2 linked regions of the Ovis aries genome follow. The protein of the gene in region 1 interacts with the protein of each later gene in a biochemical or structural test. Links are inferred from orthologs where the notes say so. Each region holds a gene or a part of one and is shown on either strand. Other genes may lie near its edges.

What was found.
Region 2: the proteins of JAG1 (region 1) and NOTCH2 form a complex in vitro, tested with the Homo sapiens proteins (2 studies listed by BioGRID). The link is inferred for Ovis aries from reciprocal best matches to the Homo sapiens genes JAG1 and NOTCH2.

What each region holds. Positions count from the first base shown.
Region 1 is NC_056066.1:3,767,488-3,783,051, forward strand, and holds part of JAG1 (protein jagged-1), read right to left. Parts: intron 12,599-15,564; coding exon 12,468-12,598; intron 12,288-12,467; coding exon 12,168-12,287; intron 11,254-12,167; coding exon 11,140-11,253; intron 10,121-11,139; coding exon 10,007-10,120; intron 9,421-10,006; coding exon 9,307-9,420; intron 8,895-9,306; coding exon 8,848-8,894; intron 8,509-8,847; coding exon 8,335-8,508; intron 7,826-8,334; coding exon 7,675-7,825; intron 6,887-7,674; coding exon 6,722-6,886; intron 6,248-6,721; coding exon 6,134-6,247; intron 5,666-6,133; coding exon 5,552-5,665; intron 5,471-5,551; coding exon 5,357-5,470; intron 5,221-5,356; coding exon 5,104-5,220; intron 4,649-5,103; coding exon 4,621-4,648; intron 4,184-4,620; coding exon 4,098-4,183; intron 2,742-4,097; coding exon 2,628-2,741; intron 1,983-2,627; coding exon 1,873-1,982; intron 1,787-1,872; coding exon 1,553-1,786; intron 1,346-1,552; coding exon 1,214-1,345; intron 814-1,213; coding exon 663-813; and 1 more. UniProt on the Homo sapiens protein: Ligand for multiple Notch receptors and involved in the mediation of Notch signaling. May be involved in cell-fate decisions during hematopoiesis. Seems to be involved in early and late stages of mammalian cardiovascular development.
Region 2 is NC_056054.1:97,294,554-97,310,117, forward strand, and holds part of NOTCH2 (neurogenic locus notch homolog protein 2), read right to left. Parts: intron 13,986-15,564; coding exon 13,749-13,985; intron 10,572-13,748; coding exon 10,459-10,571; intron 9,538-10,458; coding exon 9,032-9,537; intron 7,691-9,031; coding exon 7,343-7,690; intron 6,483-7,342; coding exon 6,340-6,482; intron 6,141-6,339; coding exon 5,930-6,140; intron 5,502-5,929; coding exon 5,405-5,501; intron 4,315-5,404; coding exon 4,146-4,314; intron 3,335-4,145; coding exon 3,033-3,334; intron 2,237-3,032; coding exon 2,089-2,236; intron 1,464-2,088; coding exon 1,366-1,463; intron 442-1,365; coding exon 1-441. UniProt on the Homo sapiens protein: Functions as a receptor for membrane-bound ligands Jagged-1 (JAG1), Jagged-2 (JAG2) and Delta-1 (DLL1) to regulate cell-fate determination.

The sequences.
Region 1 (15,564 bases):
GGGGAGCCCGGTGAACCACACCGCGGCCCCAGCCCCTTCCCCACCCGCATCGTCCCTCCGGGTGTCCTCAGAGACCCTGCCGGCCTCCCCGGAGAGACCAGGGAAAACAGCAGCCCGTACGCGTGCACACTTCTGTGTGGGGAGGGGCGTCTGGCTACTGAGACAGCTCATGAGATGAGTGGTTCTCAGAATCATCAGAAAGAAGGCCCTGGGACGCATGGCTCCAACGCCCCCGGGGGTCCCGTGCCAGCTATAGCACAGTGATGCTCCAGGGATCCCCGGGGCACTCCCGCTGCCCTGCAGGGCCACTGAGCCATTCATCAAAGCCGCTCTTAGGATGGACTGTTCCCCAACCCCGGAGCACAAGCAGGCTCCACGAAGATGCGTACTCAGGGTACGGCAACACTCTGCCCAGGCGGTGCCTGCAGCCAGAGGCAGCCCGCAGGCAAGGGACAAGTCAGGCCACCTCTGCCCACAGCCGTGGGATCCTGTCATGTCAGCCGGCCTCTGTCTTCTTGCTAGTTAAAAATGGGGATCCTTGAACAGGGAATCAGCAGCTAACTTCCCGCCTGGGGTTTCCCTGGATGCAAGGTTGTGCTGGTCTTATGGATGAGCTGGACAGGACGGTCCTCTCAGAAAGGGACCCTGACCCCACCACCTACCTGTTTTGCTCTTCAGAGGACGCCTCTGAACTCTGACTTCCGAAACGGCAGCAATCAGCGAGCTGTTCCCATCTCGTTTACTGACGAGATTTATGATTTTGTCGGTGATCTCCTTGATAGGGTTTCCATCATCCCGGATGTCTTCAGCAGACTGAAAAAGGAAGCATCAGACACAGGGGTCAGGGATGCTCACCAGTCACTTTTACTCAAAATTATTTGACCATACATGTATGCCATTCCCTGGCGGCTCAGACAAGAAAGAATCTGTCTACAGTGGGGGAGGACCCAGCTGGGGATTTCTGGGCTGGGAAGATCTCCTGGAGAAGGGAATGGCAACCCACTCCATTATTCCTGCCTAGGGAATCCTATGGACAGAGGAGCCTGGTACGCTATGGTCCATGGGGTTGCAAAGAGTTGGATACAACTGAGCTCCTAATACACATGTACATCAAGCTCTCCTTCCATGTATCTGCTCATCTGGATACTAGCTAAGTGAGCTCTCTGGGCTACTTTCAGTGAAACGACTAGGCGTGAATGGGTCTCATACTCACAATGGCCACATGCATTTCATTGTTTGCAGAAGGGGAAGGCTCGCAAGCTACGTAAAGCGAATATTCGGCAGAAACGTTCTTCAAAATATTCAAATTCCGCAGTTCACTGCAAATATGCTCCGTGGTGAGACCCTAGAATGATATTTTAAAATCCACACGTGTGTAAGGGAGCGGAACGAAAAAAGACTGCTGTTTACTTGAAAGGGAGGCTGCGTGCAAGCTGAGCTTTGGTGAAGGACAAGAATCCAGGCTAAGGAAGAGATCGAGCTCGTGATGTCTCTGCTTTAGGGCAAGCGGACACACCCCACCTCTCCAGAGCCAGCCAGAAGTGTCCCATACCGGCGACATCATCTCCTTGTTGAAGGTGAGCGTGATGTTGGCACAGTTGTCCTGGTAGTAGGGGTCAGATTCGCACTTGGTCTTCACGGGCTGGAGGCTTGAGGACCGGCACTCACCCACCCCGGTGCAGGGGTGCACGAAGCACTGGGTGTCCAGGATGGGCACGCAGCTCTGCCCACTGGGGCACTCACTGTGCCCTCTGTGCAGTGAGCAAGGGCGGGGGCCACACCACACCTGCAGGGACAGACAGAGCGCAGCTCAGGAGGTGCCCGGCGGCGGTCCGCGCGGCCCCAGGATGAGGGCGGCCAGGCCGTGCCTACCTTGGAGCAGGCGACCCTCCCGTCCAGGCACTGGCAGGCATTGCAGTCAGCGTCCCACCTGGCCCCGTCGGGTATCACGCTCCCCATGGTGACGCACGACCTCCCTGAAACTGAGGCAGGGACCCGTGAGTGGCAGGAGCTGCCCTTTCTGTGGACCATCCTCCTGACTCTTCACTCCCTGCCCAGCGGGAGATGCTGAGGCCTGTCGCCCTTTGCCCCGTGACAGCGCAGCTGCTCTCAGCGGGCAAGCATTCTTCCCCCCTCAGCGGGCCCTGCACCTGGCCACGCGACCAGCTATGATCAGTGCAGCGTCCAGGGACAGAAGTGAGCGGAGTCTCCCCCTGGGAGTGAGCTTGGCCCCTTGAAAGCCCGCCGTCTGCCAGGAAAAGGACACGCCCTGGGTACAGTGCCGGTCCAAAAAGGGTGGGGTGGCACACAGAACAGAACTAGGTGCCCAGCGCGAGGCATCCATCACTCTGCTTGCCCTGTGTACCCACTAACATCACAACTGCCTGCTGTAGGCACAGAGGTTGGGGAGGGTTATTACAGAGCATAATGGTGACAAGAGCTGGCTAAAACTAACAGTGACTCTGCTTTCAAAGGACCTTCCGGTTTCCCGGTCCTGGGTGTCTCCAGCAGACGTGGCCTCTGTATTCTCTCCCTGAGCACAGTGTCCACACATGAACAGTTGAAAAGGTGGCTGCAATGCCCACTCAGCCCAGGGGACCCACGACAGCAGGACCTGGCCCACATACCTTCCTGGCATTTGGCACCACTGTGCCCTGGGGGGCAGATACAGCGGTAACCATTGATCTCATCCACACAGGTCGCCCCAAAAGCACAAGGTGAAGACTGGCATTCGTTGATGTCTAGGAGAAATGGAGTTCAAGTTTAGGCTCCAATGGGAGGCACCAATGCTCTTCTGATAAAACACACAGACAAGATCTGTAGGTCTAAGTATAGGCTGAGTGCATTTTCATCATGTGACCAGCACCCAAATGAAGAAATGACCATCAGTACTGCCTAAGTGTCCGGTCACGGCCTCCCAAGGCTCACCACGAGCCTGACTTCTAACAGCTGAGAATTTCTCATTTGGGGAAAAAGCAATTTTTAATTAAATGTTCCTTTTCTGATAGTGTAATTTAGAGAACAGAGGCCAGCAAAGATCTTGATAAAGGGTCAGCCAGCAAGCATATCTTAGGCTTTGCAGGCCATGTGGTCTCTGTTACAACTGCTCAACTCTTGCAGTATGAAAACAACCCTTGACAGTACATAAACAAGACTGTGGCTGTGGGTCAATAAAACTTTATTTACAAAAACAGGCAGTGGGCCAGATTCGGCCCCCAGGCCATAATCTGCCAATCCTTGATTCAGAAACATGAAATAGACACAAAGCCCCCACCCAGTGGGGCCCCTGGTGGCTCAGACGGTAGAGTCTGCCTGCAGTGCTGGAGATGCAGGTTTGATTCCTGGGTCGGGAAGACCCCCTGGAGAAGGCAATGGCAACCCACTCTAGTATTTCTGCCTGGAGAATCCCATGGATGGAGGGGCCTGGTGGGCTACAGTCCATGGGGTCACAAAGAGTTGGTCACAACTGAGTGACTTCACTTTCACTTTTTTTTTCCCCCACCCAGTAGTTCTTGAAGATCCAGACTTGAGGACCTCAAGGAGGACCAGTTTAAAAGTTTAAATAATTATTGAGGGATAAGAACATACACAAAGAAGCATAACTGATCACTTTTTTTTTTTTTTTTGGCAAAAGAAAGGGCATGTAAAAAAGTAGGGAAAAGGCTCAGAATAAACTTTAAACTTCCTAAAAAAACTGGATTTCCTGACCTCATTTTGTTTGAATCATTTCAGTGGGGCCTGATCAAGCCTTGGAAACCACAGCCTCAGCCCTTCCTGTGGCTGAGGTCTGGGGCTATGCATCCTTGCCCATCGCTTCATGCTACCACAGGAGCAGCACACTTTCCTTAGAGCCTCAGAGTAGATTAACCATCAGATGCTGTGGCTGAGGCTCTCTCCCCAGGAGTGAGGGGGGCTGTGCGCCCCAGGGAAAGTCCAGGAGGCACGTGGGAGGGAGAGTCCAGCCAGGGGCATCTTACTCCCAGCTGGAAGCAGGAGACTAATTGTCAAGGCTACTTAGAACCATGGCCATAACTGTTTTAGAGAGGAAAACTCTTAGACTAAGGGTTGGGGAGATACCAGTCAGAGGTGGTCCTTACTTATTCTGCAGTCGGGCCCAGCGAAGCCGGGGGCGCATTCACAGCGGTACCAGTTCTCACCATCCACGCATGTGCCACTGTTATAACTACGAAAACAAAGGCCACTTGGTTACCACCGCCCTGTCTACCACTCCCCCCGCCAAGGGTGGCCCCACGCCGGTTATGATGGGCAGCTCTCAGCCCTGCCCACAGGCACCAGTGCCTGCGTCCCACCCCCAGAGTGTCCAGTTGACAATTCCTGGTTGCAGGAGCTCCAGTTGCGTCCCAGGCACTAAACCCTCCCCAGTGATTCCTGTGTACGGCCAAGTCTGAGCATCACTGCTCTAAACGCAGATACCATCTGACTGAAGTGTGGCCCACAGACTGGAGTGATGGGCACTGCCTGGGAGCTTGTCGGAAAGAAGGAATCTGCAGCAACCCCCAGCCCTCCTGAATCAGAAGCTGGATTTTACACAGGAGGCCCAGGAGAGGCCCACACCTGTCACAGCCAACAAGTGCCTGCATAACAAGGCGCTATGCTTACCAGGGATGAGGACTGCAGTCATTGGTGTCTGCAAAGTAAAAAAAAAAAAAAATTCAAAAACTTAACAGCGAAGCCTTCTTAGCCCTAAGTGAAAGCACCCGTGATTTCCACAATACCCAAATGATAAGGCTGTCATTAACGCCAGCAGGAGGAGCTTAAGACCCCTGCTCAATTGGAACCAGGCCCACATCACACTTTGCTGCAGTCACCATGGGACACTCATACACAGGAAGAGGCCCCGGGAAGGGGGCTGTGAGAATGGCTCTTGGTCAGACCAGAGCCAGAAAGCAAGCCGCCATCTGTGTCCACTTATCTCGTGGGTGACTTTCTCATGCCCAGGGCAGGGCTGCCTCCCATCAAGGCCTTAGAACAGGCCCAGGTGCTGTGCACGGAGCCATCACACAGCTCTGCTTCTGGTTTCCATCGCCAGCCCCAGGGGTCAGGACGGGCCCTTGCAGAGCTCGGGGTCGGGGGGACACTTACTCTGCGTGCAGATGGGCCCCTCCCAGCCTTCCTTGCAGACACACGTGAAGGACTCGCCGTTGACCACACAGGTGCCCCCATTGTGGCAGGGGCTGGGCAGGCAACTGCTGTTCCGGGCTGTGAGACAAGAGCAGACAAGACCATGCTCCCTGAGGCTCCAGAGACCTCGGGAGGGACAAAACACAGGCCCTGGAGGGCGGTCCCAGGCACTCGGATGCCCTGCGCGCACCGCACCCGCGGGGGCGGAACATACCTATGTTGCAGGTCGTGCCTTCCCAGCCTCCCGGGCACATGCACTTGAAAGCGTCCCCTTCATCATAGCAGGTGCCACCGTTATTGCATGTGGCCTCATCACACTGGCTGTCACCTGCACGCGGAGATCGGCCTGAGTCCCGGCCGCCCTCCCTGCCCCCGACACAGGCCAGGGTCCCCGCCGGCCCCCACTTACGTGAGTGGCACGTCTTGCCTTTCCACCCGTTTTTACAGTCGCAGTAAAAGTCACTGACCAAGTCGCGACAGGAGCCTCCGTTGTGGCAGGGGTTCTGGCTGCAGTCGTTAATGTCTGCAGTGAGAGCAGACACCCAGCTGAAGACACTCCCAGGCCTTTCAACGCCCCACGACATGTAAGAGGCGTGTCTCTCCACCTTCATCCCATTTTCCACTCCCAGTTCAAACACCAGCACAGCCAAGCCGGGACTTAAGCAGGGGCAGCCTTTCCCAGGAATAAAGGAGCCCGGGACAAGTCATGGAAGTTAAACTCAGGATGGGCGGAAAAGATGACCCCTTTCTTTGTAAGCCAGGATGTCAAGCATGCTAATTCCAGGGGCTAATTCTCAAAGCATCTCCACAGAAGCTCCCTCCCGCGGGCTGGCATGAGCACCACCGAATGCTAACAGCACACAGGCTCTCCCGTCCCAGGGCAGGAGTTGCTGGGGCCTTGCTTCCAGACATTCTCACTAAAAGGAAAGGCCTGCTGGGCTGCCTCCGCCGCCCACCCCCAGCGCTGCCATCCCCAGGGAGCCCGACGCACTGGTCTCGCAGTGGGCGCCCTCCCAGCCGCCGCTGCAGATGCACGCGTAGGAGTTGACGCCGTCGATGCAGGTGCCGCCGTTTCTACAGGGGTTGCTCTCACAGTCGTTAATGTCTGCGGAAGGAGGGGACATAGAACCCGGGTGAATGCAGGACGAGCGATGCCACCACCAGCACTCTCCCAGGCGTTTCCAGCTCCTCCCGAGAAGAGCCACCCGGCACCACCACACTGAACTCCATCAGGACCGTCCTGGAACCTGACAGGCAGCTGGGGAAGCAGGGGCCTCCAAAGGGCAACCTGTCCATTCTATTGGACATCCTCACACGAAGCTCCTCAGTGAGAGTCAGGAGGAAACGGCTGCGGAAGGAGGACCACCCTACCTACGAAGGTTTCAGAACCTTCTGAAACAGATGTGCTAGAGACCCCAGGGGCATCAGTGATCTCAGGTAAGCACCACCTCGGTCTTGGATCCTGGACGGCACCCCTGGGCTGGTCTCGCCTACAAGGATCCAGACCCCACCCCCACCCCCACGGCTAGGCCAGGCAGGGTGGGTGCTCGCCCCCGGCCCTGACGCCACGCGGTCTTACTTTCATGGCAGTACGTTCCGGTGAAGCCTTTGTTACAGTCACAGGTGAACTTGCCTCCCGACTGACTCTTGCACTTCCCGTGGGGGCCGCAGACATTGGAGGAAATGTAGCGCACCCCTTCCGGCGTGTCATTGGAGGCCATAGCCACGGTGCAGCTGTCAATCACTGCAAGACAGGCCCGGGCTCAGCGCCCCACCAGGGACCCTCGTCCCCGAACCCAGGACCCAGGCCGCCTGCTCTCCCAGAGGCAAGTGCCACAAGGCACCTCGGGGGCCAAGATGGCCATGTGCTGCATACACTGTGACAGGTAAAGCCGACACTCCACGCACAGGAGAGTAGTTTTTTTTTTTTTTTTTGAGGCATTTTCTCCCTGTGGAGCCGAGCAGCTCATGCATGCAGGCCCTGTCCACCCTTCCTGCTACATCCGCCAGCTCTGCTAGAAGCTGACTGACGAGGAGGAACGGCTTTCCCCTCCACTCAGGGGCACGCACGGCTGCAGGACGGACTTACAGAACCTATGGGCTGAGCCACCTCACACAGCCACAGGCGCTAGTTACATAAGTGAATTAAGGTTAGGTAAATCAGGGTTTCTACTTGCCCCGATCGCTCTCTAAATGCCCTGAACCACACGTGGCCTGAGGCTTTGGTATGTGCTGGTACAGAGACCACCAAGGCAGAAGGCTTTGCTGAAGTGGGTGCCCCAGGGAAAGTCTCTGCTTGCAGACCAGCCCATCCCAGGATGGGATGCTAAATGAATTTCCTTCTCTCCCCAGGCTACTTGCAGGCATGGCCCCTCCACTGGCGGCCTGGGTAGATTGTTTCCACGTGTTCTGGCTTCCCTCCAAAGGGGCTATCAATCTACACCCGCCTCGAGTGTCCCAGGGCAGTGACAAATGGCCAGAGAGGAGGAGGAGCTTCGCAGAGGAGCCAGCGTTCAGCGGGGAGAGCGCTACCTTCGCAGGGGGTGGTGCGGCAGTGGTCTTTAAGGTGGGAGCAGTTCTTGCCTTCATAGTCCTCAGGACACTTGCAGAAATAGTCACTGGCACGGTTGTAGCACTGGGCGCCATTTTGGCAGGGATTGGGCTCACAATAGTCGATGTCCAGCTGTGGGACCAGGGATCAGGCAGGGAACAAAGTAAAACAAAGGCGTTGATTATGACTCCTCTGGGGCAGCAGCCCCCAGAATGTGACCCTTTCAACTGCTTCCGTCAGGAGGACACGCAGCAGTATTCATAGCTGTGTCCTAGACACTGTCCAGGTAAGCATTTGAAAAAGCAGGGCAGAGTGGGAGAGCGCTGGGTCTGGGATGAAACTGACAAAAAGAAACTGACAGGCTGGTGGGGGGCCGGGAGGGAGGTTCACGAGGGAGAGGACACGTGTGCTTATGGCTGATTCACGCTGTTGCACGGAAGACACGACATCGCACAGCAATCATCCTCCAGTGAAAAATAAAGAAATCAACAGACACCCGGAAGACAATCACTCATCAGTCTCCTTTCACGGCTTATCTCGCAGAGATCCTAGTCAAGAGGAGACTCCAGACAGTCGGAAGATGGAGGCAGAGGAGGAGACATCTGTGAAAACCTGGCCATTCGCGCTGCAGCCTGGCTCACCTGACAGAGGTTTCCAGAGAAACCAGTGGGACACAGACACTGGAATCTGTTGATTTCGTTCTGACAGTGACCCCCGTTGAGACAGGGGTTGCTGGCACACTCATCGATGTCTGTCTCACAGTGATCACCTGCATAGCCAGGTGGACAGATACAGCGATAACCGTTAACCAAATCCTGGAGGAGGAGAAGGAGGGGGAGAAACACATGCATTTTTTTCTAGGTGCTGCACAAACACAGGGCTTCGGTGGTTCAGCATGACTGTTTTGGTTCAGCTGATTCACTGAGAGAGAGGCCACGCCTCTCCAAACGTGAGAGAGGACTTTCTATGTGCATGTCGTCAAGATGATTCCCGGGAGGGAGGCTGGGGTAACATGAGCCCAGGTGAAGCGTCCAGAGCCTCACTTTTCATCTGCAGTTTAAAATCCCCCAGGGACAGAGCTTTCCAGGGGTCCCATCAATCTTTAGGCTTGTTGTCAATCAGTAAGGTTTTGACTGAAGCAAAGGTTTACATACCCGACAGGAGGCATCATTCTGACACTGGCCAACGCAGTCATTAATATCTAAAAAATAAACAAGCCATCACGTCAGAGGGGCAATTTACATTGAAACTGGGCTTAATTGAAAAGCCTTCTCCTCTCAGGACAGATTAAAAACCTCCAATCAGATTTCCTGTGTGCTTCCCATGAGATAAGGTTATTACTGGGTGGGAACACTCCCTAATTCTTCCAGACTGAGCTACTGTAACTTCACATCATTGTTTTAACCACCTTATCAGTGTACGGCCGTTTTACCCGCTAATGAGCCTGATAACAAGTATGTTTTCACCGATCACTCCCTCTCCAAAAACATTCCTTTTATAAGGTTTTCCTTCTGCTCCTCAAGTCTTAAACCTGGAGCCTAACTATAGGTAGCTGGCCAACAGCGTCAACACCCTGGCGTCATGAAAGTCAAAGTGCTGAGAACATCACTCACTTATGTCACAGTTTTGACCCATCCAGCCTGGGAGGCAATCACAGTAGTAGCTGGCAATCAGATTCTTGCAGGATCTGGCATTTACACAAGGTTTGGCCTCGCATTCATTTGCATCTGAAAGAAAGAGGATGAACAGTGAGAAATGGGGTTCTACCCCCAACCCCAACCCTCCCACACCCACAAAAGAAGCCACCAATAGGTTGTCTGAAGTGAGACATTTCAATAAGCTTGATAAATAAGAGATACTATCTGGAACATCTGAATCCTCCTAGCCATGATCCAATAAGGCATGCTGACTGATCACTTCCCAGCTGCTGTGAACAGCCAGCCCCCAACCACAGGGCACAAAGCACCAGGCACTTCTGTGCAGAACCCAGCGCAGCCTAGTTGCTGGGATTTAAAAGTGGCAGAAAGAATGCAGACAGCTCATTCCTCATGAGATCATCCCCGTTTGGAACCCAGCTGAACACTTCTCGGACAGACGATTGACATGGTTCGAGGAATCCCACGACTTTCCCACAGGGCCTCCAAAAGCCAGGCTATTTGCATACGAGTGATTTCTCCCAGGCTCGCTGGCGCGACCCTTGATAATAAATGACTTCTCGGGAGGGACGGCGCGTGAACTGGCACCGCCGGTCACATGCATCTTCCCTAACAGCTTGGAGGACTCACGCTAACCCTGGTGCGGGAGTTCTCTTACCTAACTGGCACGTTTTGCCAGTCCACTGGGGCGGGCACACGCACTTAAATCCGTTAACCAAGTCCTGGCAGGTGCCCCCGTGGGAACAGTTATTTGGAGAACAGTCATCAATGTCTGTTCGACAGAGAGAGGAGAGGGTTGGCAACGTAATCTCAGTCCACTTGACAATCAGGTAGTTTACCGCCCCTCACATGAGGGACCTTCACTTAAGAGCCAGGCACCTGAAGCCACAGCCACAATGACGGTAAGGCCCGATTTTAGCTTTAAATCCCCCACTGGCCCAGTTCATCTAATCCCCGACCTAAGCAGGCGGAGAGCCAGCTGGATTCCTGGGCGTCAGCCCTTGGTAATTTGGGACAGCATCTCTGCCCACCTTTATTTCTAAAGAAAAGTTTCATCGCAGCTCAGAGGTAGCTAAGGAGTGGTAAGGATAAATAACTTTCTTCACTGGTAAAAAAGATCACATTCTTATCTGCTCACAAAGTTCTCCCAAAATAACATGCCTGGGGTACCCAACCTCCCACTTCTGCACTGGACTCCAGGGCCTTTGGAGGGGTGTGTCCTTAACTGTGTCGCCTTCTGCTCTCAGGAGTAGATGACAGAGGATTTCAGGCCTGGCGACACCCCAGGAATCCAGGGGCTTGTTAAGGACTACAGACTCCCCACCTCCAAGGCAAACGGTAGGACCCACACATCTGTAGCTTGGTAGCCCTGGTCCCTCTTGGAAAATGTTTGTCCCCATGATGAACTTCAGTAGTGACAACCTCCCCCACAGGTGGCGTCTGCAGGGCTTTGAGGAGAAGCACTGCCCCCAGGATCCAACCCAGAGGAGGCGGGGCTCCAGGGGGCACCTGCAAAGGGAGCAACAACTTTCCCAGGGAGCCTCTTGCCGTCAGAGCTGCACATGCTGACTTAAGGGGCTGCCTCAGACAGGTGAGCCTGGGGACTTCCCCGGGCAGGGCCGGAAGCTCAGCTCAGACCTTGGAGCACATCTGCCCCCTCCCACGGAGACAGACCTGGCACTGAGATGACACGGAGCCTCGACAGTCTGCATCTCGACACCGTGATCCGCGGCCCGCACCACACACCCACCCCCACACTGAGAAAGGACACGGGTCAAAGCCCGGACTTACTCGTGGAGCATGTGGGGCCAGTCCAGCCCGGAGAACACTCACACTCGAACCCCAGGGAGGTCTCCTTGCAGCTTCCTCTGTTGTGGCAGGGATCAGAGAGGCAGGCGTGCTCCGCTGCGGACACCAGAGGGCCATCAGCATGGGACGCCCACCAAGAGGCTACTGGACACGAGCCCCCCACCCACCCCACCCAAAGCCCACCCCCAGGCCACCAGCTTGAGCTTGTTCAAGAAATGATGCATATACACTAACGTGTAAACAGACAGCCAACAGGAATTTGCTGAATGACTCAGAGGGATCAGGCTGGGGCTCTGTAATAACCTAGAGGGGTGGAAATGGGTGGGAGGGAGATTCAAGAGGCAGAGGACATATGCACACCTGTGTTAACATACGTGAAAGAAAAGTGAAAGTGAAGTCGCTCAGCCGTGCCCGACTCTGCGAACCCACGGACTGCAGCCCACCAGGCTCCTCCGTCCATGGGATTCTCCAGGCAAGAATACTGGAGTGGGTTGCCATTTCCTTCTCCAGGGGATCTTCCCGACCCAGGGATCGAACCCAGGTCTCCCGCATTGCAGGCAGACGCTTTACTGTCTGAGCCACCAGGGAATCCCATGTACAGCATATTAATTCATGTTGATGTATGATCAACAAATCAAACCAATGTTGTAAACCAATCATCAATTTAAAATAAATAAATACTTAAAAAAATAGAAATGAAAGCAAGCGTGGGACCCAACCTCGCTGTGTCTGGGGAAAAAGGAAGTCATCTTTCTCGCTAAGCTCTGGTCACCTTTCTCCCAGCTTCCGACTGGGAGATGGGTCACTGCCCTGCACACGCCGCCCCAATGCAATCAGCCACACCCAAAACACTTGAGCAACTGGAGGGAGGTTTCAGAGAGCCACGGAGCTGCTGGGAGCACAGGTCTTAACACCGGAGGAGAGTTTCACCTTTTCCAAGTCTCTAAGTGTATTTGAGTTGAGCAGACAAAAAGTAGAAAAGGGGCTCTCTTTGTGCCTAGACCACTTACCGATTTCACAGTTGGGCCCGGAGTACCCTTCGGGGCAGGAACACTGGTATTTGTCAGGCCCTGTGTTGCTACAAGTTCCCCCATTGAGACACGGCTGGTGGGTCCCGCAGTAGTTGAGATCTGCCAAAAAGACCCCAAAGAAGTCTCTCAAAGATCAGAGAGACCGCCCACCTGCTGCATTCCAAGACCCATTCCTCTTTACAAACTAAAACCAAGAGAAAGAAACCCAAACTCACAGCATTAAAGGCAAGTTCAAGCAGATTCGGAATAAGCGGAAACCCAGCCCCTGCGTGGACGCACCTTTGTCGCAGAGCTGGCCGCCCCAGTTGGTCTCACAGAGGCACTGCCAGGGCTCGTTACACGTGCCGTGGACGCAGCCGGGGTGCGGGATGCACTTGTCGCAGTACAGGCCCTGCCAGCCATATTGGCACCTGGGGACACACAGCACGCCAGCCCTTACCCTCCAGAGCTGGCGGGGAGAGCCCAGCCGGGAAACACAAGCGCTCGAAGCCCAGGCTCGCTAGTTCTGGTGACCGCCTGGTGGACGCTCAAGGTCCGTCCAGCGGTTCCCTCTAAACAAACATTTTCACAGTGGGACCGAGGGCCCCTCCCAGGCCCAGGTGACTCCCGACAAAAGGCAGGCTGTCTAGGGAGAGGCCCGTGCCAGGGCCTTCCTGCACAAAGCCCCTCTCTCTTCTCGGTTCCCACAGGAGCCCAGAGTGGGGAATCAGTCAAGCCCTGGGGGCGGGGGAGAGGGCTCGCCCTCCAGTGACAGCAGCCACGCACAAGTCCTGCAAAGGTGGCGAGTTTTACACCGCAGCTCCACTGGAGTCCCTCCCAGGGCAAGTCATGACCCCAGCACACAACAAGGCATCAAGATGTCAAGGGTGGCAGGAAACTGCCTCCCAAGGAGGCGTCCTGAGACGGGACACGGAGGGAGGGGGCACCCTTCCTCGCAGAGATGGGGTTGGATCTCTGGACACATGTCTGCAGGGACAGCGAGGAAAGCGGACAGTGCTCAGAGCCAGCTCTGTGAGTGACCTATGACCCATCATCGTGGCTGCTTATGCTCTTTATTCTATAGCAGTTATTTCTCACTTTGCAAAAACCAAGTCAACTCAGTTTATCCAGTATTGGGGAATGGAGGTGCATTTCCTTTGTAAATAAGCGCATCACTAATCGGACTCTTTGGAGGCCATAGAGTGCCTTTGATCCTCAAACAAAACCAGAAGCACACACCTTCACCTGGGGCAGGGCTCAGCTACTCTTCCCTCAGGTTTCAAGCCCTCTGCAACTGTGTCTTCTCAGAAATCCAGCTTCAGCAAACAGGTTGGAGCAGAGGGGAGGGGGCCCCCATGGCAGAGTGAAGGGGGGGGTGAGCAAGGGAGAGTGACAGGCAAGCATTTCCACGGTGGGCCCACGAAAGCCGTGTCAGAACTGTCTCCCCCTTCCCACTCAGCTGAACTTGGGAAAACAAGCACCCCAAGATGCAAAGGCTTTCTGCTTCCAGAGAGCTGAAGGCAAGCTAAAAACCTTCGTCATGGGAAAATTATAGGGATCCAGCTAATAGCTAATCACCCATGGCCGCGAGTCAACTTAGCCCCTGAGAATTCTGACTAACCACTTCCTAACTTCTAAGAGCAAGCCATCCACGCCCCAGTACAGAGAACCACCAGGATGTGTGGTTTAAAAATCAGACACAGGATTCCGGTTGATTTGAAATGAAACTTCAGTCTAAATGACAAATGACTATTTAATGGAGTAAAATAAGAACAAAGTCAATGCTTTGGTAGCAATTTCTTTAAAAGTGGACCCTCAAGTTGGTGGGAGCTCAGGGTGATGCTTTTGATACTCTTAGCCTAGAAGGTAGATATTAAGAGGGAGTTGATTTGGAAATAGCATTCTTGTCACTGTCTTTCCCCAATTCCCTCCCAAATGAGGGTTTGCTACACCTCTTCAATTTGCTTAACAAAATGCAAGAAGAGACAGCTGAGGACCTGCCCTCAGCTCTTAATTAATGAGAGACTGGATCCCCAAGCATAAAAAAGAAACCACAAGAGGCCACGGATGACTTCAAAAGAAAACAAATAAAAATACTGACCCTAAAACAGGCATCCACAAAGTTATCCCAGTTTAATAATATATGATTAAGGTTCTCATGAGAAATTGAAGCGACTTTCCTCACAGGATGATTCACAATTAAGTTTGATATTATTGGCAGGCTCGCAATGAAGCAAGACCGTGCGTCCAGGAAAAGGAACCCAGGTCGCCTGGGGAGCAAGAGAGGCAGGCAGGTTCTCTCATGTGGAGGAAACAGAGCAAAAACACACCCTTCTCGGCCACCATCCAGAGGGCCACTTACAGGTCGCGGGCCATCCAGCTACGTGAGCAGCAGGGCCGACCAGAACTTCCTCAGGCCTCGAGAAGGTTCTGTTTTCATTTTTCTTTCAAGGGAAAGGGAAGGAGCTGGGTGGGAGGCTATGCAAATACCGTGTGGGAAAGTCACACCTTCAGTCAGAAAGGGCCTGCGTGTCCAGGCAGGAGTGGGAGGGAGACTTTGAGAGAGGAAGGGCTCAGCTCTGGAGACAAAGCCTGTTGTTCTGGCTGGGAGGGCCTCCCCGGCAGTGGCGTGTTTATTCTGATGACGGGAGCAGAAATCAGCCCCTGGCTGATAGTCATCTGAGTCCAACGCAGGCCTGGCGGGTGCCCGAGAGCTCGGCTGCTCTGAACCCATGAGCACCCTTCAGGAGCAGGGCCTGCTCCCCTGACGGTGCCAGCTGCCCCCACTGGTAGGGTCCGCCCCAAACCCCCTCGGCCTCCCAGAGCATAACCGCCTCTCTGGAGTGCAAGGACAGACATATCTCAGAGCAGCCTCCTCCATTTGACCTCAGTGGCCCTGAGCTCTACACTTCAGCCTCAAGCCTCAGAGCTCAGTCCTCCCAGTGGCGAGCAGAGGCAGCAGGGAGCACCCCGAGGTTCAGGCAACCACAGAGGTCCTCTAGACTTTCTGAGCAGCAAAACCATGTGGCTGAGGTGGGCCGGTCAAAATGCAGATCTCTGGGCCCAGCCGAGGAAGTGGGATCATCTGGGTGCAGCGTGGCACCCCGGAACCTGCATTTCCACACACCCCCGGTTAATTAGAGGGATGACACTGAGCACAGAGGTTTGTCCCTCCAGCAACAGCGGCATCACTGGAGGCTTGCTGCAACTGCTGAGACTCATGGCCACCTCCCCGCCTCCCCTACCCGACCCCCGCCACCGCCGCAGAATCGAGACCTCACAAGAGCCCCAGGGAGCGCAGTTTGAGAGGCACTGCTCTAGACTATGGGTTCGTGAGCTGCCCTTGGCTCAAACTGCAGTGGCTCTGGGGGCGAAAACAACAGGTCCGGAGGACCCA
Region 2 (15,564 bases), on another chromosome or scaffold:
AGACTCTAGGGAATCGACGGGGGACAGAGTCACTGAGCTCTCGGAGAGCTGGCCCTTGTCACTCAGAGACTTCTTCCTCCTGTTCCCCTTGGCATCCTTGGCCTCCTTGGCAAGGTTAGGGAGGCTAGTGGGCACGGCACTCTTGGTGTTAGGCCGTCTAGACTTCTTGCCCATTGGGGTATGCTTCAGACTGAGAAAAGATCTGTTGGGCCCACAAATGACGGGTGAGAGTGCAGAAGTCAGCACTGTGCCGGGGGGGCTGGGCGTCACGTTGTACTCGTCCAGCAGGCGCACGATGTCATGGTGCATGCGGTCCCGGGCCACGTCCCGAGGAAGACGATCCATGTGGTCTGTGATGTCCCGATTGGCAAAATGGTCTAACAGGATCTTGGCTGCTTCATAGCTCCCCTCCCGGGCAGCAAGAAACAGGGGTGTCTCCTCCTACAGAAAAAAAGAAAGAAAAAGCCCATGCAGAGTGCATTTTAATAACACTCCTGAGAATACAGCCATGTTTCTCAATCTTTTTGTTATCACTCCTTTAGACATTTTTTCCTAACTGCCTTCCCACATGAAATTTTAATACCACAGATAAAAAGTGTGCACCTACCTATGTACTGAATGGCTATCTGTAATTTATACATAAAGAAAAATTATTTTACTTCTCCCCAAGATCCAGCTTTGCCCTACTGAGGGCTATGTTTTCTTAATGGGGAAGTGTGAAATAAAGCATGTCCCTGAGCCATAAATTCACCTGCAAGAGCACTGAGCTTATCAAAATAGGGTTCTAAAAGGAGTAACAGAAATAAAGGTATGAGGGGAAGAACCTAAAGCACGTAGAGAAAAATAAGGGAAAGTGAAAGAAAGAAAGACGAAACATCTGAGACAAAGAACAAAATAATGGAAAAGAGGAAATGAGCAAGAGAAGATAAGGTGAGCAACAGAGGGAAGCATGACACGGAAGTCAGAGGAAGCAGGAAAACATCATGGAGCCCAAGAACGGGGCAGGGCTGGAGGACGCGGAGCATCAGGAAAACAAAGAAGAACAAACAAGTGAAAAGGAAGGAAGTGTGTGCGAACAGAACAAAGACCAGGAAAAAGGGAAATGTCAAAGAAAGGCAGAAAAGTTTACACCAAAGTTATCAAAGGGACAGCCTGGTGCACAGTGAGCAGCCTAAGGGTCAACTCTGACATTTCACTGGATAAGCCCAATGCAAGCACTCAGGCACTCTGGACCCATTTCCTGCCCAATCTGCTTCCATCTTTGTCTATCCTTATTACAGAGCAGCTACAGGAGAAAAGGAATGGTCTCATACATAATCCGAGGCACTGCTGTACCTGCCCCCTAGCTCAGAGCCCAGACTGTACCTTGTTGTCCTGCATGTCTCGGTTGGCCCCATTTTTCAACAGCAAAAGGGTTGCCTCCACATTATTCACAGCAGCTGCCCAGTGAAGGGCAGATTTTCCTGCAGGAAAAAACATTTTTATAAGCAGACAGAGTAAGAGGTTAACAAGGAAACCTTGAACTTCTCAGACAACAGCTAGAAGCCAGTTTTCTCTGGGGGCCCACAGGAAAAATCAAAGATTATCTTCATATTCCCCTATTCTAGAAATACTTTGGTACAGGCTGCCTAGCTTTCAGAAGACCTCAAAGTAAAAGGATCATCTGTCTACGGTACCACATCCTTTGTGTGGCAGAATCTACCCTGTCACATGCTGAAGACAATAACCTGCTTTTTTATTACATGCCAGGATATATAGTTAGAATATCTCACCACCCTACCCCTTCCATGAAGTCAGCTCTCATATCCTCATAACAAGAGTGGTATACCTGGGAACTTATGCAGGAAAACTCTCACAGACCTGCTCTTAGATCCAAGAACTCTCACTAAAAATCCCTTCCCAACTTTATCTATGGACTTCACACTGTCTCAGATCTCTGAACTCAATATTGCAAAAGGAAGACGGAATGAATGAACGAATCTTCAGTGGGTTCGGATCTGAGACAACTCTCTAGGGATCATGCAATAATTCTTTCCTTAGAGGCCTGCTTTGCAGGTAGGAATCTGAATCCCTGCTGCTCATCCCTACCATGGTCATCCACTGCATTCACATCTGCCTGGCAGTTGATCAGCTCTGCCACCATTCCCTCCACAGCCAGCCGGGCAGCCAGGATCAGGGGTGTAGTGCCATCATTCATCCTCGCGTCTAGATCAGTTACTCGGTTGCGGATCAGTATCTAGAATATGAGAAAGTACAGAAAAGAGTCAGCTGAATACAAAAAATAATGAAGCTAAGATAAGACAGACATAAAAGCATCAGAGTTGAGGCTCTACAGTAAGTTCCTGGAGGGCAGGGAATGTTTTGCTATCTTCGTGTCCAGGTTCTCCTAGAGTCAATCAACTAATATCTAAGGAATGAATGAATAAAGGAATAGGATGAATGAATACACAAACAGGTGCTCAAGCTCTACAATGGCTTTGTAAATTAATGTACCTCTGCTTTCTAAAGAAAGAAGAGGGAAGTGGAAAAATACCACAACCTCCATTGTGGTGTACAAGTTAAGACGATACAGAATTGCTTTCAATTTCCTCTTAAGGCTAAAATAATAGGGCATCAGGTGTGCACTGTGAACTCATGTCAGGAAAACCACCAAGGAGCAGCTGGAAGCCCATACAGTCAGATAAATCTCGAGGGAGAAGCTGACAGCCACTAGTCGGAGGCAGGTGTCATGCACCTGATCTTTTCATTTGGGAGGTTATTTTGCCTCATCAAAAACAAAACAAACAAGCAAAAAACAAAGCACTGACGAACAATCAGAAGACTGGTGTTACCTGCTTTACTATGAGCTAGCTGTATATGGTCAGCTCTGCCTGCCTGCCTCCCTTCCTGCTTTCCTATCCAGCAAGCATGACTTTATCATCTGCCTTATTCTCTCAAAGAATCACTGAACAAATATAATGGGTTATTACATGTCTTAATGAAGGGGAAACATTCTAGGTTCCTTAGGAGTCAACTCTTTACATGATCTTTACCTGGAAGACACCTTGGGCATCAGCGGCCACTGCAGCATGGAGAGGGCAGCGGCCCATGTTGTCCTGGGCATTGGCATCTGCTCCTGCATCCAGGAGACGCTTGGCAGCATCGGCCCTTGAGTACCGGGCTGCGAGGTGCAGGGCCATCTCACCCGTCCGGTCTGTCTGTGCTTGGAGGCTGGCACCCTGGTAGACTAAGTCTGTGATGATGTTAGCAGAAGAGTCCTCTGCATCTTCATCTTCATCACTCATGTCTGAGCTGCCTCCTCGGAGAGAAGCCAGCATCAGTGGGGTGCACCCATCTGGAGGAAAAGGAAATTCCAAATAGCATTCAAGGAGGGGAAGGACATTCATGTTCACTTAACCCTATTGCTGGAAGAGCTCAATTTGAAGAAAATTATTCTTTTCGGAAAAAAACCCTGTGCTTCTTGTGATAAATGGCGATTGATTTTCCCTTGATAGTATCCTTTCTGTAAAGAGGAGCTAGTCTCTAAGTTAAACAAGCTTTTCTATTCAAGTTTCTAAGTGCTATGCTTTTTTAAATTGGCCATTTAAAAATATCCAGTATTAATAAACTATATACACTAAGGTACGAACTAAACAAATTTTCTATTCCTCTGCTTTGGGATATTATTTTTTTATGCCACTAAAATCTATCCCAAATAATCACCCTTTTTGTTGCTGAACATGCATTATGTGAGGGCTTCCCTGGTGGTTCAGTGGTAAAGAATCTGCCTGCAATGCAGGAGAGGTGGGTTTGATCCCTCGGTCAGGAAGATCCCCTGGAGGAGGGCATGGCAAAGCACTCCAGTGTTCTTGCCTGGAGAATTCCATGGTCAGAGGAGCCTGGCAGGCTACAGTCCATGGGGTCGCAGAGGCGGACACGACTGAAGCAACTTAGCATGTATGCATGCAGAAGGTGAAACAAAATGAAATCCTGCCTCTTTTCTCATACAAATTTTATTTCTGTAAGCCTGTTTGCCTTAGACATTCATTTCCTCAAGCTGATTTCCAGTCTGATTTCCTCGATCACTGAGTGGGGCAAACACAGGGATAAGGTGGAACCGGGGGTGGGCATGGCACAGTGAAGAGAGAAGGCTCGCAGGCACTAACCTGGGCCGCGGACGTTCACATCCAGCACGTCCACCTCTTGTTCTGCCTGTGGAGGGGTGAGAGCCAGCGATGGTGTCCTACGGATGTCTGCAGCTTCCAGGTGCTGCTGTGTCCATGGACGCCGATCGATGGGGTCATCTTCTTCTGAGAGCAAAGCCTCATCTTCAGCCTGAAAGAAGAGGTAAACTCTCCTGATCACTCTGGTACGCCCCCAGGATCTCTCCCAATTCTTTGACTGACTAACTTCTAGCTACCCTTCAAGTAGAGCGCAGACTTTAATTCCTCCTAAAGAACACACGCTGCTCACTCTCCTTAACAAAGCGTTATGTTAGGTGCTTACACAGCATTGCATGGCAGTTCCCACTGCTACCTGAAAGGTTCCTCAGGACAGGGAGCAAGCCTTGTTCAAGGCTGCCTCCTTGTACCCTGTATCCACCCCAATGCCCAGCACAGAGCCAGCATTCAGGAAGTATTTGCTGGATAGTTATTATACTTTTAAAAGCAGCTGACCTTTACAGAATATTCAGTATGTGATAGAAAACAGGTAAGGCAATTCACCCATATTGAAAGAATCATTATTATTTTCCCTATCTTACAGATTAAGGATAAGTAAACATGAAGAGGTTAAATAATGTGCCAGAGTTTGGGACTTGAATCCAGTCCTGACTGTAGTAATTTTCTTAACCATCATGCCTGTTTTCCTCAACTTTATTTCCTCAGAATATCCGTGGAATACATGCATATCCCAGCCGTGTATGTCTATGGGTGAATGGTCTCCTTTTTCATGTCAGACCCAGCCCAATGTACCTCTTACTGCTATATGGCTTTCGTTTCCAGGGATCAAGATTTAAAGCCTCTAAACTCAGTGATCACCGGCTTTCCTCCACTAACTAACTCCACCTTCCCTTGAAGTATCCAGAGAGAATAAGGGAGAGATCTGGCTATGAAAGAAACTGGTGTTTACACATAATAGTCCTTATTCAAGTACCATCAACCTGACATTTGAGGAAGGAAGCATGTTTGTTTTATTATTTTTAAAGAGTTCTTTCTGAAAAACTTACATAGTAACCCAAGGCCATCAATGACCTAAATATTCCTGATTTTTGAAACAACCTAGGATAGTCAAGGCCTGGGCAACATGTACAGACTACCACCCTTCTCTCCCACTCATGATACTCTAGATACCAAAGGACAAAAACGTGAAATATGAGCAGACAATGGCTAATAATGATTATTAGCTTCTACCACGGCCAGCTTACCTTGGCTTTCTTAGGCTGGGGCCCTTCATCGTCGACCCAGTGTTCACTCGTTCCGGAACCAATTAGGTTAGCCTCTGAGACTTGCACTGAGAGATTTCTAACATGACAGAATCATGAAGGTATAAAGGACAGGGTTATATCATAAAAGAACATAGAAATTTTCACAATTTTTCTGCCATCACACATTCTCATGGCTACAGTCAGACTTTCAGGACCCAGGGAAAAAATGGGCAATATTACATCCCATTGCCTGAGTAAAAATCATTTCCTTCCCCACTAAGCAAGAGCTTACGACAAAGGCATGTCTCATCACAAAAGCTGAGCATCCTTGTGATAATATATACAGAACTGAAGCATCCAGACTCTCATTTTATAGCCACAAGCAGGCATTCAGCATCATGGGCAAGTACAGTAGCATGGCATGGCCAGAACTCTGAATTTAAAATCATGATTCAACAAGATCTGATTTTCCACTTATCCATACTTGTTACTACTGTGAATATTAGCTTGTTGACAAACTCTTACTTGAGTCCCACAGCATCCTGGCCCACTGGCTCACGACGTTTGTGGTTGCTGGAGTCACGGCGAAGGGTGAAACCTTCAGGCAGCCAGAGGGAGCCATGCTTGCGCTTTCGTTTTGCCATGATAACCCCCAGCAGGATAATAAACAAGATAATGACAACGGCAACAGCAAGCAGATAGAGAAGCGGAGTGCGTTTTGGGGCCAGAGATTCACCTGCAAGTGCAGAGAGATAGGGAAAGTGGTGAACAAAACATCCACCTCTCAATATTCCCACTAAACTCCTTCAGAGAACAACTTTGACCTCGCTAGCCCTGAGAAACAGAGCGCTGCACACTGTAAGCTGTGCCCCGTTCTCTCTGCCTGCAAGTGGCATTCCTTAGCACACTTTCCCCTTAATTTTAGAGCTACTCACTGACGACAGACACAAGTGGGTACGACAGGGTCCCCTGGATGGCGTGAGAAGCCAGAAGAGCTGCTGCTGCGTCTGTGTTCTTAAAGCACTGGTCTGAGTCTTGAACACACTGGCGGTTGTCAATCTCCAGAAATACCTGAGAGCTGTGGGGAGCCAAGGAGAAATGGCGAGAAAATGTCAACCCAGGAATCTGAGGTAGACCTGCTTCCTCACCCTCAGCCTCGGGCTCTCTACCTCTGGGATGCTGTCTCCAGGAAGATCCCAGAAATTAAGATATGGTTTACATCCTAATTCTCACTTAGGGTGGGCTACAGTCCATGAGTCACAAAGAGTCGGACATGACTGAGTGACTAACACTTTCACGTTCTTGGTTTGGCTGCATCTAACTGTTTTGACTTTTAGGCAACATAAGACACATTGAGAAAATGGGGTGAAGTTGCCTTTGGTGGGCTGCTTCTACCCCTTCCCCCTTCCGGTGTATTCAACGGTACATACAGCTACTCTAAAAACATACCCCTACCTTTTTCTTTTTGTTCCTTACTCTCCTTTCTCTCTGCATCCGTACTCGAGCTAGCTAGCAAGCTGAACATTGTGAGATACCAAAAAATCCTGAGTGTGGATGACATAATATATGCAGAACATCACCCTTGTCAAAGGGACAGAAATGAAGGGCCTTGAAAAGAAGTCCAGGATTAATACAAAGAGGAGTCATCACTAGAAGGATTTACGCCAACTCTGGCAAATGGTTAGATTCTAGCACATGAGGAGCCCGTTCTGACGTCCTGCCACTTGACTTGCTTCAGCCCACTTTTCAGGATTCCAAGATCAAGGCAAACCTTGAGCACTGACTGTAAAGACTGGTATTACAGGCTTGTGTTATTCGGTTGACTGTTTTGTTTTCTGACCTTCCATCTTGATAGGTGCAGTTGCAGTTATGATATCTGTGTATCAAAGTGCTCAGCTTGATAAAATTAAGCTTTAAGTTCAGAAATTAGACACCTACCCAGCCACTTCCTGTTCTTCATCTCCAGGAAGGGACCTGCGTGTCAATCTCTGCTTCTTCATGGCAGCTGACTTCCCACCATAATAGGGGTAGACCATGAGCTCCCCCTGTGCATCCCGTTTGATGCGGAGGTTGGTGTGGAGCAGGGTGCCCAGTGCCCGCAAGAATCTGCGGGCATCCTGGAGCAGCTGTTCAGGGGGCATCAGCACCACAATGACGAGGGTGCCCTCTGCCAGGTTTTCTGGCCGGTCCGCAGCACAGTCCAGCCCATCCCAGCCACACTCCTCACTGTTGCAACCCTGGTCACAGTGGTTGTCTTCGTAGTGGTCTGCACAGTACTTGTCATATCTAGGCAGAGGGAGGCAGAGAACATGGTAAGATTACAGTGGAACTCTGTTTTCCACTTGGAACTAATGCGGATTTTCCTACCCATCTTCTACAGCTCAGATTAGATCCTGAAAGTCCTCTGAAGCCTCTGTGACTCTCCGTGCCTGACTGCTTACAGTATATACAGTCTATACACCTTAGCATCAGTGAGTGCTCTCTGAATGAGAAACAAAGCTACTCACTAAACTCATGGGCCCCTAGGCAGCTTGTCATCATGTTAAATCAGATTTGTAAACAAATCTGAAACAAAAATACCTGGCTCATGTTTTCTTTATTTTTATATCCATTGTCTCTGGGCTTCCAGCAGTAAAACAAGACTCTAGAGAGTGCTTCCACAAACTGGAAAGTAGCCCCATACCAACAAGAGATGCTGTACAGTTGACCTTTGGCCCATTTGATATGGCCCATTTCTTTTCTAATCAAGACTGTATCTTTACTGTGGAAGGTAGGTGGCGAGAAGTGTGTCCCACACAGGATACCAGATCTAATTCATACAGCATCTTTCAAACATTGGGAAATGGAAACTGACTCCCAAAGCCCGTTGATGCAAAAATCGTTTGATTTCCACTCACCCCTTCTCCCTCCTCACTCCTATCCCTGATGGTTACACCACTCGGTCCAACTTGCCACTCTAGCTCAGTGAGATCAGGAGTCAGGAGGAGCTGTATCTGCTCTGGCAAGTTCTTGAACTTCCCAAGTCTCCCTTCCCTGGCCTGTTAAAGGCCATTAACACCACCTATGCCTCACAAGGTTGTTGAGAATTAATCAGGGTTGAACCAAATGGGATGACTAAATGGAAAGCTATTATGTAACCCACAAAGCCCCCTACAGTTGCAGCAGTGAAGACCAGGAGGGTTAAGCTGACTAATCTAGCAGATGCTTCCCGATAAGTCTGGAGGGGAAACCCAGTCTTAGGGAAAGGCATGGGATGAATAGAGAGGGGTACAGACCTTTGCAACCATGCTGCAGGCAGATTATGTGAGAGGCTGCCTGACAGTGGGTAACACTTCCAAAAGTCCATTCCCCTGGGAACCTGTGACAGCAGCAGGCGAGGAAGCAGAGACAGGCAGAGAGAGAGTGGCTGTGCAGTGAGCGTTTCTGCCCCTCGGTCAGCAAGGGAGAGCACAGGGTAGTGTGTGATGGGGCAGGGTGGCACCAGGGAGAAGAGGGCAACTGGTGCCAGTCCAGAAGGCGGAGGTGGCTTGGGCAGAAGCACTGGAGTGGTTAGCAGCAAAAGAACAAGAGACCGAGGTGTGTTAGTGACAGCGCTGCCCCTCAGTTCTGGGGACCCTGGGCGCTTACTTGCATGTCTTGCTACTCTTCTGGCATTCAAAGTTGTCAAACAGGCACTCGGCCGTGTTGCACAGCTCGTCGCACTGGTTGTTGATGTACTCCCAGCAGGGCAGCGGGGAGGAGCAATTGGCCCAGGGGTCTTCCATGGTGAGGGAACAGTCCCCCCCGTCCCACTGGCAGGCATGGCTGTTGCACACGTCATCACAGATGCCGTCCCGAGCTTTGTCGGCACAATACTGGCTCAGGCAGGTGGCGGGAGGGGTGCTGGTGGGGGTGCTGTAGAGTTCACAGTGGCTGCCCCGGAAGGGCGGGGCACACTGGCACGAGTAGTACGGAGGCTGGCGCTGAGGGTGGCAGCTCCCCCCGTGCTGGCAGGGGCTACTGGCGCAGCCCGAGTCGCAGTCCTGGGGGTTGGGGCAGAAGCAGCGGGGGCCCGAGGCCGTGTGCACACACTGCTCCCCTCTCCTGCACTTCACCTGTCCGCAGGTGCTCTGGCACCGCACCCCAGAGAAGCCCTGTGAGAATCAGTGGACGAGTGAGGATGGCAGGTGACTCGTGAGGGCAGGCCCCATTCTCCCCTGGGCCCCTCACCGCCACACCTCTAGGGAGGTAAAGACTAGGCTCTTGAGTAAGATCCCTCCAGGTAGCCTCCTGGACCGAGTTATAGGAAGAGACTTCTTCAAGTCAACCTACAGGTCAGGGTGGTGGTTCCAGGATGAATACAGAACTTTTTTACTCTTAAGAGCTTGCTTCTAGAAATGAAGTCCGGAGTTCACATTAGGATAAGGTGACCCTGAACCTATTAGCACCTTTCCAAATCATCAGTAGATCACTCATACAGTGACTTTACAGGGGAAAGAACACACTTCAGAGGATCAGATGTCTAAAAGACTTTCCTATGTCATTTCGTACTTGGACGCCTGGCTCAGTCCAGGCCAAGGTTACTGGACAGGTTTCCTTTTGATATCCCTCTACTCATCTATTAGGAAGCTTTTAGCTTCTGGCAGGAGCAAAAGTGTTTGCAGAGCAAATGGCTAACGTTAAGACTTCCTTCTAGTTGAAGAAGCAATCTGTTCCCAAATAACTGCTGTCGAGGGATGTGAGCAGAGTAGCATTTCCAATACTCTGTCCCAGTCTGGGCGGCAAGACCACCCTCCAGCACAAGACCCAGAAGCCAAATACACTAGCCCTGTTCCCAAGGGAATATCCCACTGCCCTCAGTGCTTCTGAGGACTGACAGTCACAGATCAGGGAGCTCACTGTTTCCCGAAGTATTTTAATAGTTTTAAGAGGAAAACGGAAGTACTTTCTCCTAAAGAGGCTAACATTAAGAAACGTCCCCACCAAGAAAGCTCCCCACCGAGCTCGGAAATGCCAGGTTTCGTCTCGGCTCTGTCACAGGCTATATGGAATTCAGTAGGCACTGTGGCACTCACCGGGGGACAGCGACAGATGAAACCATCGGGCATGTTGCTGGCCACAGCACAAGTGCCTCCATTCAGGCAAGGCATCTGGGGACACATGTCGACGAACGTTTCACAGTGACGACCTCAGAGTAGAAAATGAAAGGGGGTTTTAAAAGGTGGAAGCAGTAACTCAGGTTATTGAACAGGATACTACTGGGATGTGAGCTAGTCAAAGGATTAGAGAGGGAGCAAGAGGTGTGAGAATTGAGTTCTAAGCCTAAGGGGACAAGAGAGGATGAGGAAGGCACACGCCAGATCCCAACATCCTCGGCCCATCATCCACTCAGGACAGTTCCCTCATCTGTCTTATCTACAGTAATAAGTGCAAATGGCACATGACTGAACTGACTCACAAAATAAGATATGTACAAAAAATGACTAACTCCTCAAAAAAAAAAAAAAAGAAAACGACACCTAAGCTCTTTTAAAGGCACTTTAGCTTTCGTAAGTCAAAAGCATTTAGCAAAAATTCACTGCATTTTGTTAACACTGTCTACTTCATGAGACAGGCTGCTGCTGCTGCTAAGTCGCTTCAGTCGTGTCTGACTCTGTGCGACCCCATAGATAGCAGCCCACCAGGCTCCCCTGTCCCTGGGATTCTCCAGGCAAGAACACTGGAGTGGGTTGCCATTTCCTTCTCCAATGCATGAAAGTGAAAAGTGAAAGTGGAGTCACTCAGTCGTGTCCGACCTCAGTGACCCCATGGACTGCAGCCTTCCAGGCTCCTCCGTCCATGGGATTCTCCAGGCAAGAGTACTGGAGTGGGGTTACAGTAGCCTGGACAGGCTACACCAGGCCAATACATCTAAAACAGTGATTAACATATCTATGCTACTATAGGTAAAACCGATAACTAATAAGAACCTACTGTATAGCACAGGGAACTTAACTCAGTAGTCTGCAATGACCTACATGGGGAAATAATCTAAAATAGAGTGGATTGATGAATATGTATAACTGACTCACTTTGCTGTATAGCAGAAAATAACACAACACTGTAAATCAACTATATTGTAATAAAAATTAAAAGGAAAAACTTTTGGGACAGGGGCCATGGCTAATTCATGTTAATGTACGGCAAAACCCACCACAATACTGTAAAGTAATTAGCCCCCAATTAAATTAATTTTTAAAAATGTCGATTTGCAGTTTATATTGAATTTTTATCAGTGACATCTGTTTTAAAATGTTCCAGCCTTTCTGTAACCTTATCGGCATTGTTTTAAAACACAGCTTATGTTAGCACTACCTGCACAGCTTGTGTTAGCAGAAACTAACACAGCATTGCAAAGCAATTATATTCCAATAAAAATTTAAAGCAAACATACCAAACCCCCACAGCTTAACATTCCCACCATAATTGTGATTGAAGTCAAAGGATTTTTCAATTCCCAGGTGTGGAAAACAGAAACACCACTTCTGGCTGCTGCTGCTGCTGCTAAGTCTCTTCAGTCATGTCTGACTCTGTGCGACCCCACAGACGGCAGCCCTCCAGGCTCCCCCGTCCCGGGGATTCTCCAGGCAAGAACACTGGAGTGGGTTGCCATTTCCTTCTCCAGTGCATGCAAGTGAAAAGTGAAAGTGAAGTCGCTCAGTCGTGTCCGACCCTCAGCGACCCCACGGACTGCAGCCTACCAGGCTCCCCCGTCCATGGGATTTTCCAGGCAAGAGTACTGGAGTGGGGTGCCATTGCCTTCTCCGCCACTTCTGGCTATGGGACCCCAATTCAAGGTGGTTTCCACTCCTTTCGTGTATTTCCTTCTTTCTTCCTAGGGCTCATCAGCACTTCCAGATAAAGGAAGCCTCAGAGGTAATGAAAGGAACAGGAGTCAGTGGTCTTCTAGTTCTCAAGCATATCATGACCAGTGTGAGACGACAGATTTGTTCATAGTCTTTCTGTCCAGGGTTGCCTCAAACATATGACGTTGGTATTGGATTGTTTCTCTTTTGATGCTGTACCTAGGTGTTTTCCATATTTCAAAATCTACCTCCCCCCCTTTTTTAAAATAAGATTCCAAAGTTCTTAAAGGTAATATATCTTTAAAACTGGAAGGGGGGGATGTCTGGATATAATAAGCCCAGAATGTAGCAGAGTTCAACTTTCCAGATTACTAGTAAGCAGACTAATGCAGACTGTCATCTGACTTCCAAAGAATACTTCTACAGCAAAAGATTTGAGCTGACCCCAGAGTGCAAGACAGATTTCCGGGTAACTGATGGCACTGCCATATTTAGATATAAACAGCTATTTTAGTCCCCCAAAGTCACCAAGTTGCCATTCTACAGAAATAATTAGTAACCGTCTATGATAAAACCCCTATTCGGAGGCAGGACTCACTCATCTTTGTAATCTGTGATGAACACAGCCAAGTCTTAGCGTGCAGGCCCTGCTTGTGACCTCTGAAGTTTTCCTGTTCATACCCTCATCAGTTAGTTTTTGGTTAAACAGCCCAATTTGGATCTATTCCCTTTAATCGTCCAAGAAGACCTAAACTTCTTTGGATCCCAGAAGGTAGAAAGGTCACTATGGCAGCAACAACCCAGGCACTCAAGTCACTACATGCCACAGGAGGCAGGGTGACAAAACCAGAGTTAGATATAAGGTTCCTGAACATGAGATGAAATGAGTTCCAGAGATGGATGGTGGCATAACAATGTGAATATCCTCAATACCACTGAACTGCATACCTAAAAATGGTAAAGATGGTAAACTTTATTCATATGTATTTTACCTCAATTTAAAAATGTTACTTTGCTCAACTTCTCCCAACATTCTATTTCTTTTTTTCATATTTCTGCTACAATAAGATGTAATTAATATGTAACAAAAGAGATAGGATCTCTCAGGAAACACAAACATCTATGGAGCACAGGCCTAGGAAAAAGTTGGGCTCTTGAATTAAGCTGGTCTAGATTTTCACCCTTGCACCTCTGAGGGCAGCCTGGACTGCATACAGCTCACCAGCGACTACCTGTGGCCTTCCCTGGTGGCTCAGATGGTAAAGAATCTGCCTGCAATGCAAGAGACCCGGGTTTGATCCCTGGGTCAGGAAGATCCCCTGGAGAAGGAAATGGCAACCCATGCCAGTATTCTTGCTTGGAGAATCCCACAGACAGAGGAGCCAGGCAGGCTACAGTCTATGGGCCAGAAAAGGTTCCCTTGGTCTAGATGTGTCATGCAGGGCCCAGTTTCCTCACTGAAACCCCCACCCCACTGCGAGGCAGAGTGGCTGGGGAAGCTGGAAAGGTGCTCAGCTCACCAGTGAAGGTGCTGCGGCAGACGCACAGGTAGTCATTGGTGAGCTGAATGCAGTCCAGGCTGCCCTCAGAGCTGCACGGGCTGGACAGGCACTCGTTGATGTCCCCCTCGCAGCGTTCTCCAGCAAAGCCTGGCAAGCAGCGACAACTGTAGCCCCCAATCCTGTCTACGCACTGGCCACCATTAAGGCAGTGGGGACCTCTGGCACAGTCGTCAATGTTCTCTTCACAAAGCAGGCCTGGAGGAGAGAGAGGAGGGAGAGGAAATTATGACGGTTCTTGGAACGCTGCCTTCCAGGAAGGGAAAACCAGCCCTGGTGGCATTTCCACAATTAGTCAGGCTGGAACCATTTTGATCAGGCAGGGCATAACACACGCTTGACCCAGGATTGTGCCCATCCTCTTGGACACCAGTAAGCAAAGGATGTACTCAGGGCTTCTCATGTACTCCCCACACAACCCAGTGATGAAGCAATCCCTTAGGGCATAGCTAGTATTATTTTTCCACTTGAAAGGTGAGGAAATTGGAACTCAAGAGAGATTTGGTAACTTTTCATTAATTTATTTGTTTTGATTTAAAATATAAAAACAGTTAAAAAGAATATAACTATAAATAAATAGACTACAAGTAATCACTGGTAAGAACTGGAAGTAAATTTTGAATCACACGAATGACTTTTTCTGTAAAACAGTGTAAGTGCACAAATATCAAAAAAATAGAAGGGAAATATCCTGTTGAGAGCTCAAAGGTTATTCCATTTAAAACAGAACTCATTTAATGTGCTATAGATGTAAAAGGCCCATCAAGTATGAACATCCGTACATATTTTCGAGGAAGAAACAAAAGAAATCAATGACTATTCTAGAAGTGATTTCATGATCAATTCAAAAAAATTACAGAAGAAAGAAAAACAATACTGTATTCTTACCACTTGTAATAGCAAGACTATTGGAAAGAAAAGAAAAATGTTTTTTTTTAAAAAAGGCCTCAGTTTCAACAGCAATCAGTTCAGTTCAGTCGCTCAGTCGTGGCCGACTCTTTGTGACCCCATGAACTGCAGCATGCCAGGCAAAAGATAAAATATCTAAGAATAATCTTAACAAGAAATGCACTACACCTACATGAAGACTTAAAAGTAGACCTAAAAGACACAAAAGGAAACTTGAATAAACAGAAAGACAATGGGTTGGTCAGGAAGACTTCTCATTCTAAAGATGTCAGTCTTCTTTACACAGATTCATAAATTTAATGTGACCTCAATAAAAATAGTAACAGGATTTTTAATGAATATTACCGCTAGAAGTAATTAAAATTAACCTCTACTTCTCTTTCAAGTACTGAGCAGAAAACAACTCTCCTTTAACAGAACAAATCTTCAAATATTTAAAGGCTGTTTCTCCTTAGTTTTGACTTCCCTGTTAATCTCACTGCTCAATAACTAGCCTACTACTGGGGAACTTTTCCATTCTAATTTAGCCAACTCCGAACTCAAGAAGGAAAGCCAAAATCCACTGACCCAAAGGTTTAAGACAGTATAAATATTTCTCTAACATTCTATTCTCTTTGATGAGAATCAATTTTCCACCATTGTGGATGGCTTTTTCTTTTCACATGCTGCTCAGAGCAGGCACCATTATAACTACATCTCTTCTAAAAAATGATACTCCAAGCTCTTTCCAGGAGATTGTTTGCAGGCAAGGGAATGCCCCTGGTGGAATGATGGTTCCACCATCCACCATCTAGGGTTGCATCTCATTAGGTCTTATTGTAATTCTTAGTTCATTCTTGGACCATCAACCTTCTCCCCTTGGGCTTAC